Linked DNA regions of Coturnix japonica. The protein of the gene in region 2 interacts with the protein of the main gene of each other region in a biochemical or structural test. Links are inferred from orthologs where the notes say so. Each region holds a gene or a part of one and is shown on either strand. Other genes may lie near its edges.

Evidence for each region.
Region 1: the proteins of KLHL20 (region 2) and DAPK1 are reported together in a solved structure, tested with the Homo sapiens proteins (2 studies listed by BioGRID and IntAct, with this or other methods). The link is inferred for Coturnix japonica from reciprocal best matches to the Homo sapiens genes KLHL20 and DAPK1.
Region 3: the proteins of KLHL20 (region 2) and CUL3 form a complex in vitro, tested with the Homo sapiens proteins (2 studies listed by BioGRID and IntAct). The link is inferred for Coturnix japonica from reciprocal best matches to the Homo sapiens genes KLHL20 and CUL3.

Annotation. Positions count from the first base shown.
Region 1 is NC_029547.1:37,546,109-37,549,758, reverse strand, and holds part of DAPK1 (death-associated protein kinase 1), read right to left. Parts: intron 3,230-3,650; coding exon 3,032-3,229; intron 584-3,031; coding exon 485-583; intron 1-484. UniProt on the Homo sapiens protein: Calcium/calmodulin-dependent serine/threonine kinase involved in multiple cellular signaling pathways that trigger cell survival, apoptosis, and autophagy.
Region 2 is NC_029523.1:6,135,263-6,139,625, forward strand, and holds the start of KLHL20 (kelch-like protein 20), read right to left. Parts: upstream 2,894-4,363; 5' UTR 2,879-2,893; coding exon 2,805-2,878; intron 1,862-2,804; coding exon 1,288-1,861; intron 1-1,287. UniProt on the Homo sapiens protein: Substrate-specific adapter of a BCR (BTB-CUL3-RBX1) E3 ubiquitin-protein ligase complex involved in interferon response and anterograde Golgi to endosome transport.
Region 3 is NC_029524.1:6,977,880-6,981,529, reverse strand, and holds part of CUL3 (cullin-3), read left to right. Parts: intron 1-369; coding exon 370-530; intron 531-1,669; coding exon 1,670-1,784; intron 1,785-2,387; coding exon 2,388-2,616; intron 2,617-3,650. UniProt on the Homo sapiens protein: Core component of multiple cullin-RING-based BCR (BTB-CUL3-RBX1) E3 ubiquitin-protein ligase complexes which mediate the ubiquitination and subsequent proteasomal degradation of target proteins.

The DNA.
Region 1 (3,650 bases), on a different chromosome or scaffold from region 2:
GCAAGTAATAGTACTGATTAATCTGATATAAATCATTTGTTTCTATACAGATACCTGCACTCTAGTTAAACTCTTCCATGTATCCACACATTTATGACATGAAAACAGAGCTTTTAAACTTCTCCAAAAAAACAAAAAACTGAACAGGATACACATTAAGCATCCGTACAGCAACTGTACAAGGTATGAGATTACCTATCTTAACAACAGTGGCCTATTATAACATTATGTTATCTGTATTTCTAACTAATTTTAAGTCAATAAACTCCACAGATGAAGTGGTAGCTTCACTGTACCTAGTTTCAAATTCAGCTGTAAGAAGGGCACAAGTTGACAACAATTATTTTCAAGTTGTAGATGTTCTACTCCCTACTACTTTTTCATTTCAAAATGTAATTGTATTTAACCACTTCTCTCCCTTGAGATTAACTTATTTTCTACTATTGTATATAAAACATGCATGAAGCATCGTCTTAATACTTACTGAGGTTAAAGCTTCCACATTGGCACCAGTAAGACAAAGGAACCTGACAACTTCAAGAATGCCATTGTTTGCAGCAAGATGCAAAGGTGTTCTTCCATACTATCATGGAGAAAATAAAGGATCATATTAGACAAACAATATCATTCCAATGTTTATGATTAACAATCATATTATATGTTTTATTATTAAGTACTGATACACCGCAAAGGTAGTATGAAAATTTTAAGAAAAAGTCCCTAGTCTTTAAAGCTGTAGATTCAATTTATTTCAAACCAAGCATTACTGAAGATAACGTTTCTGTAGTGTTCTCCTAGCAAGGAATAATAGATGAACATAAGGAGTGTGCATGAAGGGATCTATGATTGTAGTGACAAAAGGAAAGTGATGAAAGTATTTGGAGAAAAGAGCAAAAAAAAAGGTTAGGAATATTTCTTCTGATGACAGATATGAAAATATCAATCATTTCTGGTTTTTTACGTTCATAGCTAAAAACATAAATAACTCTACTGTATACTGCAAATCCTTGCATTACTTGTAAATCCTCTCATCATCTCCTCTTGTTACTTCATATTCTCAATACTGTTCTCCCTGTTTTAACCCTACATTCCAAACCAAATTCATTTGCTTACTTCAAAAAGAGTACCTGAAAGCAAAGCTAAGTTTACGCACCTATAAACTGAAAAGCTGCTTACTCCTCGAACTCAAATAAATGTTTATGATGTTCTGCTGCGCATGGACTTTGAAAGAAACTAGCAGCGCCCTCAACTGGTACTGGATATGCACAGGACAATGCCAGATTTGAGGACCAAGGACAGATGGTCCTTAGTTTATTTACTCATATCATGGGTCTCACTGCTGAAAAGCACAAGTAGAAATAAATGTCTTTATTTCATAAGATTTTTACTCAATCTTTCAGATAAAGTGTGTTCTTAAAAACCACTCCAGTATACTTGACTCCTAAAAGACTAGCAGGACATAAACTTTAACTGCAGCTCCTGCGCTATGATCCCACATCTACTGACCACTTGAAGGCTGTTTATTTCCCTATGGTATGCTTGGGGCCAGGCTACTGAAACCAACTGAGCATTCTCAGTTACGAAAAGAGGTACTAATCCAGCCTTTTGCTGAATTATCTCACTTTCCCAAAATGTGTTCTCGGCAATTAAATTTAGATTCTCTGCTTAGTCATCATATTTAAGCTCAGAGGCAAGATCAGAGAGCTCATTACTGTAAGATTCTTGACTTTGCAGCTGATTATTTTAATTATTAAAGCCAAGAGATTTCACTGGACAACCTTCAAGCAAGAAGACCTACAACTTTAATTTGCTGGCTTACTTAGAGAATGTCAGTTTTCATACTAAGTGGAAATATTAGTATAATATTCTGTTGGAATATGCATATTTTCAGAAAAACTGAATTACAATATCTGAATCATATATAAATTAACAATATAAATTAACAATTAATGACATAAAGATGTCTCAAAAAAAAAAAAAGACTTTTAAATTCACACACAAAAAAAGCACAAAAATTCAACAGAGTAGAGAAGACTTCAAAACTAAATACAGCATGTCAGCAGTCTATTAGCAGACTTTAAACTTATTCAAATCCAGTTTAGGAAAATTTTCTCAAACAGCTTACTTATTTTTCACCTAAAGATACATCGGAGGAAAGCAAGAATGTTAAACCTGGATAGCACCTCATTTAGTTATCCCATACCCTGCAGCAATAGCACAAGAAAAGAAGCCAAGAAAGCACTAGCACTATCTCCAAATTCAGAGATAGGCAATGAAACTTTCTCTTTGCAAAGTGCCCATTACTACAATCAGTTGGCATTTCACATATTTACCTGGTAGTAATCCATGAAGAGGTATCACATTCAACATCTTTTAACGTTTATTACTTCCATAATTGTCACTTGTAAGTGAAAGAATCACCAATAGGACAATTTCCCCAAAGCTCCTCCCTCAGTCATCTAACTACAATTTTTGAAAATAGTTTTACTTTTAACATTTTAATTCTGAGAATTCATGTACAATTGTTTTGTCATTATTTATTTTAATATTTTAATAAATGAACTCAAGAAAAACATAAACCAGCTAATATAACATTTTTATAACCAGCAGCAGAATCCACACTTGTTTTCTATCACTTGTTCAGATGACAGTGCAGACCTGTACTGAATTTAAAGATTTTTAATAAAAATGTATCAGTCTTTAATTTTGAAGCAATTTAGTATTATTAAAGTACATCAAACAAATGTCTATTCAGGCTAGGGAAGATGGCTGGCACAGATTTCAACACTAGAGCTGAGTAGCAGAGTACACTGTGGTAATTAATTCACTTCGGCTCCTACTTCATGGATTTTTAATCTGTGAACTAAACTGAAAAAGGTAAGTTTGCAGCATGAGTCATCAAATGCTTTACATCTGACCACTTTAAAATATAAAAATGAGGGAAAAATAATTTTCTGACTAGCAAAGTAGAGAAGATCATCTAATGCAATAGGTGACCTCTTAAAGCAGTTCAGTGCCATATGCCATTTACCTTATTAGCAACATCCAAGTTACAACCTGCTTCACAAAGTGCCATTACAATAGGGACATTTCCATCTTTGCAGGCCACGTGCAGGGGAGTGTTGCCATGTCTGTCTTGGAAATCAACAAAACATCCTTGATTGATGAGGGTTTTAACTACTTCCATCTGACATCTTCTTACAGCAAGGTGCAGGGCTATATGACCATCCTGAAAACACAACAGAGCCAAGATGTGAGGGAAAAATAAAAGTCCAAGTATTTTTTGAAGTCACAATCATTTTCCAGTAATTTTATGTATTTCCTTGCCTCCAGAATTAAATATATATATATATATTTTGGGGGAGGCAAAAGGGAAGGGCTGAGCTGGAAGCAGGGTGATGCACAATATCTGTCAGAACAGATCAACAAGTAGAAAGCAAATTTTTATTAAGCCAGCAGGCTTTGCATTGGAATGAATGAAATGTAAACACACATTCTCTAGTGAAGACTTCCCCGGGAAGTGGGAGCGTGACTAACTGAAAAAACAAGCCCAGCACTGTAAATCACACTAGTATTTACTAACAGAGGTTAGGGATGAAAAAGTCAAGCAATCTGTTCAGTGATCTGCAACTTCAGAGACAGAGCTTTCT
Region 2 (4,363 bases):
CTCAACACAGGGCTTTGATTGTGGAGCTTTTGGGAAACCACTGAGTTCTAGAGGAAAAAAAACCACAAGCTTTCAAATAGCAAATTCTGCCTTCATGGCCAGGGAAGTCATATTTAATTTCAACTTCTAGAGTAAGCTGGTGTTATGTGTCTACAATCAGATATCAAGTATTGTCTTCAAGGTGTCCAACAGTCATGTTCAATTGTGTTTGCTTCTCCTCATAATTTTCTCAAGTACTACCTGACTGAAATTAATACAATCCCAATCTGCTTCCTGCAGGGAAAACAAGTGTGTGCAAGCTGCAATCAATCACACACCACCACTTCTCTGGGGGAACTGAATTAGCATCAGTACTCCATCCTGGAGTCACCACTGCCTTCGGAAAGGACTTCACAGGTGGGAAGAAAGGGTCTCTCTGCACCAAGCTGCCTGTCCCAGTGGATAGAAGAGCAGCTTCTGGAAAGGGCAAGAGAAATCCCCCTGCTAGGGGAACACACCTTCATGCTGAGAGCACCCCTAGAGAGCAACTGCTTCCAACACATGTGAATTCTTACCCTTCCAACTAGGGCTCAGGAAAGATACCACTTAAAAATGTCAGGCTCTCTTCTGCATCTGGGTGTAAGAATGAAGTAAAGACTCACTCTTCTCTGGGTATTGCTTAGGTAATCCTTTATTATGCTGATCCTTCCCTGAACTGGTAGCTGGCACCCCAAAACATTTTCCTATGGAGACTTTGAAAAGCAAAAAGAGACTTGAGTTTATGAAGGTCAGCCACAAAATACCACGTGAATTCCTTTCACATCGAGCTGTCCAGCTTCTGCTGAATAATAAATGCAAAACCCTCGTGCTGCTGTATAGCAAGAGAATTGAAGACTTCACTTGATACAGCCATATGCTTTCCCAGTTCCCTCATGCTCCCAATCCCTACACTCAGCACATTTTTATTTCTCATATATTACCCTCACTTTAAGACTCTCTTCTCCCTCCAATCATGTAAATCCCAAACACTATATTGCAGTACACCACAGTGCAGCTGCATCAGTAGCAGTGTCTGTGGCCCTGCCTTCCATGCAGTATTCAACACAGAACTCCAAGAGAAGAAATGCTACAGACTGTATTTATGATATACAGAACAACAGTGAAGAACACAGCCGTGTAAGGGCGCTCTTCCCCCAGCTGAGGCCGATGTCCTTTTCTATCAGCAGAACTGAGGGCAGGGTTTGGAAAGAATCACGAAGTAGGAGTAGACCACGGCTCTCTAAACTCCTCAGCAGAGGGGCCTCTTACCTCCTGGAAGTTATGCTGGGTGAACTTGTCAGCAATCCTCAGCAGTTCACGGCACGAGTGAGTGTCAGCAAAAGCTCGGATGCCCAAGCAATTGGAAGGGTCCAACTGTCTCTTAAGGAACTCACAGCAGGCCTCCTGTATCTCAGCCAGCTGGAGAAGGCAAGCAGCTGGCAACAAGGTCTGGACATTTCCCTCTTCCACAGTGATCTGAGAGGTGTAGGCAAAGTCAATGAGCAGCTCCATGGCCCTTTCATCGATATCTCTGATCACCACTTCTGTCTGTCGACTCTCTGCCAGCTCCCCAGTGAACATGGCTCGGAAGTACGGGCTGCAGGCGGACAGGATCACCCTGTGGGCGTAGATCTTCTTCGCACCTACCACCAGCACCACATCACACAACTCCCGGTGCTTCCGAAGAAGATTGATGACTTCCAGAGTCTGTCGAGGGTGCTTGTCGGAGATGTAAGGCATACGAGCAGGCTGCGGCACCCCTTCCGGCAGCTTGTTAGGATCTCCCAGTGTGCATCGGCTGGTCACATCCATTCCGGTCTCCCCTGGTCGAGTACTGGTACACCTGCAGCAGGAGAAGCCAAAAAGAAGATCGGCATCAACTCATCCATCACTAGCTGTCAGCAATGCTCAACACTTCACACCAATCACACAGGCAAAACCAATGCTGCCCAGAGCTCCAGATGAGAGTGTGAAAAGAACCAGTCTCAAACCAAAGTCTGCTCAGAAATAAACAAACGCCAGCTTGAAACAGGCTTATACCTATTTTTATATGCTTTTTATGACATGCCACAGCGACGTCCAACCACATGTACATATTTATTAACTGAACCTCATGACTGCCTGGCACGGTAGAGAAATATTATCCTCATTTCACAGGCTCAAAGCGAAGAAAGTTATCCCATTTGTCCACTGCCACTTGAGTTTGGTCAGTTTTCTGCTGCAAATAATTGCACTCATACAATGTAGCCAAACTTCTCCATTCTTTTGCCTACATATTGAATAGGGGTGTCCAGCACTGACACCTGAACACACACAGCTATCCTGAGGACTTCAGTAGCTTTAGATGGCCTGCAAGCTAGCAGGCAAGCAGGATTAAGAGACCAATCAGAAAGGAAGTCAAAACAAAATATTCACAACCACCAACACACCAAGTGAAGAATCAGAGCGCTGACAGCTGTGAATAATCAGTGAGCACCGCTGGCTGTTGGAGGGAGCCTGGGAGAGCCAACACATCCATTTCCAGCTCCTCTGGTACATTGGCATTTGGGAGTTATCACCACCTCACTTTGCTCATACTAAGAGTGAAAGAAGAGACAGCTTTGCTATTGCTCAGTGCGTTTTGCAGCATGCATCCATTCCTCTCATTATTATGTCAAGTGCACTTTCGAACAACAAGCAAACCAGCCTCTCAGCAGCAGTTCCAATTACCGGCATCCCAGACTGTTTTCCCATTCCCCCCCACGCTTTCTCCTTGATCATGGCATTCAGCTGCTTCAGACCATTACCTCTCCCTCCTATCTTTGTTGCACAGATCCAGCTGGGCCTCCCTCTGTGCTTTATCCAAGTTCAGCCTCTGCATTTGAAATGCCTTGCTTGTTTACTTGTTACATATATATACAATATATATAATACATCCATTGCTGTTCTCCTTTCCTGACACCTCTGACAAACCCTTCTGCTGTTACACTGCCTCCCGCTCCCCTCCACCCACTCATATCCCTCACAATCCAAATTCACTTTGCAGCATTCCAAAGCTCTGCAAAGTTCCTCCCAATAAAATGCAGGCAAACACTCCTCGCAGCATCAATGAGTTCAATGGTACCCTCACAAAAACCTCAAGAAACCTTAGCTAAAGATTAATTGACCTAATTGGCTTTCTCTGGTAGTCCCCAGCAGCTAAGAGCAGACAGTAAGTAACTTAACCCCTCTATCTAGGGATGGAGGAAGGCAGCGACAGAGCCCCCCAGTATACAGGCCAGCTCACACTAAGCACACCACATGGATTTCATTGTGCTAAGGCCAGATTTGGGCAGTAGTTCCCCATTCCTTGCCAGGCCAAAATAGGCTTTTCTCCCCAAATCTGACTGCTGAACAGATCTTTAGCTGCAAAGGAAGCTGGTTATTAAGAACCTCAGGCGTTCCTGCACTGTTCCCATCCCTATTTATCTGAGCGTGCCTATTGTATCCAGCCTCCTTTCTCCAAGAAAAAGAAAAAGGGGCTGGTTAATGATTAAAGAGAACTGAATGGCTGGAGAAAAAAAAAGAATAATAAGCAAATTACCATTCCTGATTCATCCCTAACTTACCTCTAGGTAATGCAGAAGCAAGTGATGGATGGGTTTGGGAATTTCCATACTGGATCAAGACAGGTGCTTGACGTTAAGCACCGTGGGCTGCTGCTGCACACAGGCACAGAAGTGTGAATTAAAAGGACACCGCCAGCCTGTGTCTCCACAAGGATAATAACTTCACTGCATTATGTGTGCATTATGCATATATATGCATAGAGAATGAAACGATGACTCAGTAGCTTAGAGGTGCAAAAGACAGAAAGCAGCATTTGATTCTCACATGCTAGGCTAGCTGCCATCTCCCAGCACATCCACAGCTCAGAGCTGCTCCCACATACACAGGGTGATTAAGAAGAGGTGAGGATTGAGGAGGAAATGTGTGCTGGAAGGATAAAAGCCGGGTGCTCAGCTACGCAGATATGCTGGGATTAGCCTCCATTAAAACGCAGGGCCGAGGAAAGCAGCAAACACAATGCGATTAAGAAAGGGCTGACAAAAGATGGGCTTCCTTAGCACACTGCTGAGGAGTACAAATGGAAACACAGGCAGTCTGCCACACTAGGTCAGCGAAATAAACAGGCAGCGCTACCTCCATTTATACACCCAAGAATAGATATCTAACAAAAATGCTTCCAGATAACATCACTGAGCTGCTTAACTTTAAGGTCAGGGTGGCCTGTGTTTTTTGGTTTCAGAAAGCCTTGATGTAATGCAGAAGAAAATAACTGACGGGACCTACGGCCCACAGAACAGAACACAAAACGGGCTGAAAG
Region 3 (3,650 bases), on a different chromosome or scaffold from region 2:
AAGATAAAGGATGTGGATGGAAGGGAATTAAGTAGATACATAAAAAGCTTTCAGATTATTCTATGATTTTTCTGAATGTTTGGGGGCTCCCCTACTCTCCAACTGAAAAAGTGTCAGGGGTTGTGAATTTGTTCTTGCTTGGCTTAGTTATAAATGCTGTGCTTACGGTCTTAAGCAATATAGGCTCCCTATTAAATAAAGTTTTGGTAAATTGGTCTGATCCTGAGGTTGCTTCCTTTTAATAATGAGAAGAAAGGGGATTCACTTGATTATATGTGTACAGCACCAGTGTGACTGGTCTCTTCCATTTCTGAATAACCTGGGCATGATGAATTCAAAGTGTCTTTGCTTTGTGTGCCTTCATTGTAGGACCGTGTCTACGTACAACAAAATAACGTGGAGAACGTCTACAACTTGGGTTTGATTATTTTTCGAGATCAAGTTGTACGTTATGGCTGTATTAGAGATCACTTACGGCAAACTCTGCTGGATATGATTGCAAGAGAAAGGAAAGGAGAGGTTGTAGACAGGTAAGATGTTTGTAAGTGACTGTCTGCTGTTGCAAATGACACTTAGCAATCCTTGAGTGAATCACAAATGTGCACAGCTAAATCATTACTTAAGCGAAAGTTTCTTCATAACATGGAAAAAACCCCACATTTTTACTTTTTAGCAAACTTAAAATAATGGTAAATGGATACACTCATTAATACATTTCTAATGCTAATCTTGAGATGTTTATTGAAGTTTTTGTTAAGTCTCTCCGTTACCACCTTCTGTCATAGCATTCTATTATAAAGCAGAGGTTTGACAGTTCTCTGCCCCTTGTTGTCGTCCTGCTTGTCCTCTGTACTGAGAGGCTGCTTAACTTTCCTCTACCTGCTTTATTTGATTTTTGAAGTTATCTTTTAGTCTTCCATTTCCATTCCTAATGTTTTAACCCAGTTCAGTTATCTCTCGGCTTTAAAATCTGTTCTTCATGTTCTCTTGCCATATTTGTGGAAGTGGTTTGACAGCATGAGCTTCAGATGCTGCATGTGAAGTAACTCGAAGTTTGCAAGTTTTTTTGCGTTTCTCCAGTTTCAGAACAGCTGTTGGGTGTGGAGATATGTAAACTTCATGCTACTTTGGCTGCAGTTCTGTAATTGGGATTGCCCAACATACAGTTTATGAAGAGAAAAATACATGTTGGCAACAGCTGTATATTGTCCCCTGCTGCCAGAAATGAAATTTTTTCATAGATACAGTTCTTTTGTTTTTGAATGTTATCAGCATGTTTATGCCTAAACAGATGCTTAAATTGCAGGTGTGTTTTCATACTCTGCATGGCACCATCCATCTGTGCAACTGTCTTGTTTACTACTAACCTACACATGCAGTTTTCAGTGTTCCTTGTTTATTTTCCGGTGTGGAGAAATATATTCCTGTTAATAGTTTTCAGAATTGGTAGAACTTGAGATCTGCTTTCCTATTTAAAATATTATGTGTTGTCAGCTCCTTAGTTTTAAACAGTGATAGTCTTACTGCCATCTGGAAAACCTCTGGTGCAACAAACAGATGTAGGACAGACTTTTTATTAGTACATTTTAAGTTAAAAATTGTTATTTTGCTATACGTACTCCCTGTGTTATGTTGATTTCTGAAGTTGTTAACAACTTACTTTTGGCAGAGGCGCAATAAGAAATGCTTGCCAGATGTTAATGATTCTAGGTCTTGAAGGAAGGTCAGTCTATGAAGAAGACTTTGAGGCTCCATTTTTGGAGATGTCTGCAGAATTTTTTCAGGTACAGCAGTCTTGTAATTACCCTATTTGGAATTCTCTTGTAATTGCATGGAATCATAAGAGTTAGTGGTACCTTAAGTAACTACTGTTTATTCGACGAGTAATGTCAATCTTTGTTAAATGAAATAAGAAGTGTGACTAACTTTGAGGAAAAAGAAACACTTATTTCACATAATTAACATAATTTAACTGTGAGCATTGTCATTCTTAAGAATAATGAGAAAACCATTGATGCATATAATTCGTAAATATGACATAGACTGGTATTTGAAAAGAGATTTTACTTTTTGCTTCTCCCGTCTTTATTTTCGTTGGACCTGTAGCTCTAACTCCTGTTGGTCACTGGATATTAGGCTGATTGTGCTCACTTTAGCATGGAGAATACCACACTTATATTCATGTACCCTCAAACCTACATAGCACAATGAGTGTAGTAGAACTTTTATTGTGTTAAGCATATATGTAACTCTTGGAGGTCTTGCTTGTTGGATGTGCCGGAGTGATTTAACTTGTTAATGAATGCTGATCTGAAATAACCAGTATATTTCATTTTTTCCTCCTTAAAATACAAGAAGTCTAAAGTATTAATTTGTGTTAATCACAGATGGAAAGTCAGAAATTTTTAGCTGAAAACAGTGCTTCTGTATATATAAAGAAAGTAGAAGCTAGAATTAATGAAGAAATAGAACGGGTGATGCACTGTCTGGATAAATCAACAGAAGAGCCAATTGTGAAAGTTGTTGAGAGGGAGCTTATTTCCAAGCATATGAAAACTATAGTGGAAATGGAGAACTCTGGGCTAGTTCATATGCTGAAAAATGGGAAGACAGAAGGTAAGACTATATCATATGGGAGACAGAAATGCTTACCATACTGCTTGTTGTTTTTAAACATAGGATAAACTGAGCTTAACTTTTGTGTTCCTGTTTGGCTTTCTTTTGCACACCTCTGCAAATGGTACTTCAGAGGATTTAGAGAGCTTTTAGGACACTGATTGTATATAGAACTTGTTTCTGTTTAGTGCCAAATAATGACTTGGTTTTTTGTAAGCTAAGCATTTCTTAAGAATAAATATTCACCTTTTGTGCTGTGCTTGATTACCTGCTCTCTGTGAGCCATTTTATTGCTTTTGTGCCTACAGTGTATAGCTTTTAAAATGCATCACTGTTTTGTGGGGTTTTTCTCAGGGGGTGGTGCAGTATAAAAGTGATAGAGTAAATGACATGGAATTGCATGATTGATTTTTTTGGGGAAAAAGGATTTACTGCAGGAAAAAAGTGTTAATTTTAAAGGATGAAAAATATTTTCTAAGTGACTGAAAAAGAAGGATTTGGTTTGGTAAGGTTTTCTATAGTGTAGGTTACTGTGAGACAGCAACTGAATGCACATTTTTATAGAAGGAGAACCTACACTTCTGAAACAGTGTAATGAAGAGTGATTGTAGTACCTATTTTTAGAAATCAGGCTTCATACTAAAACATCGAGAATGGGAACAGACTTACTGTTTGGATAAATGGCTTTTGTTCCTTGAAGTAGCTTCATAATTAGGTGGTAGTCAGAGTGATAAAGTGAGCAAATTTCTTAGCTGTAAGAAAAGAGCATTTCTGTATGGAAAGATGATACTATACTTAACCTTTTTTCATTAATATCCAATTAAGATAGGCTTCAGGGTGAGAGGACAAGGATATTGAAGGGCATTTACAACATACAAGAATTAATATAACATTTATAGGCATTGGTTTAATATAGCTGTGAAGTTTTTTACATAAGAGGTGTACAAGGCTTCCTCTTCAAAAGCCATCTTTAAGCTAAGTCAGTTCTCCTGATTTTAGGTATATGAAACAAAGTAGTGAGAATTTATGCAGTT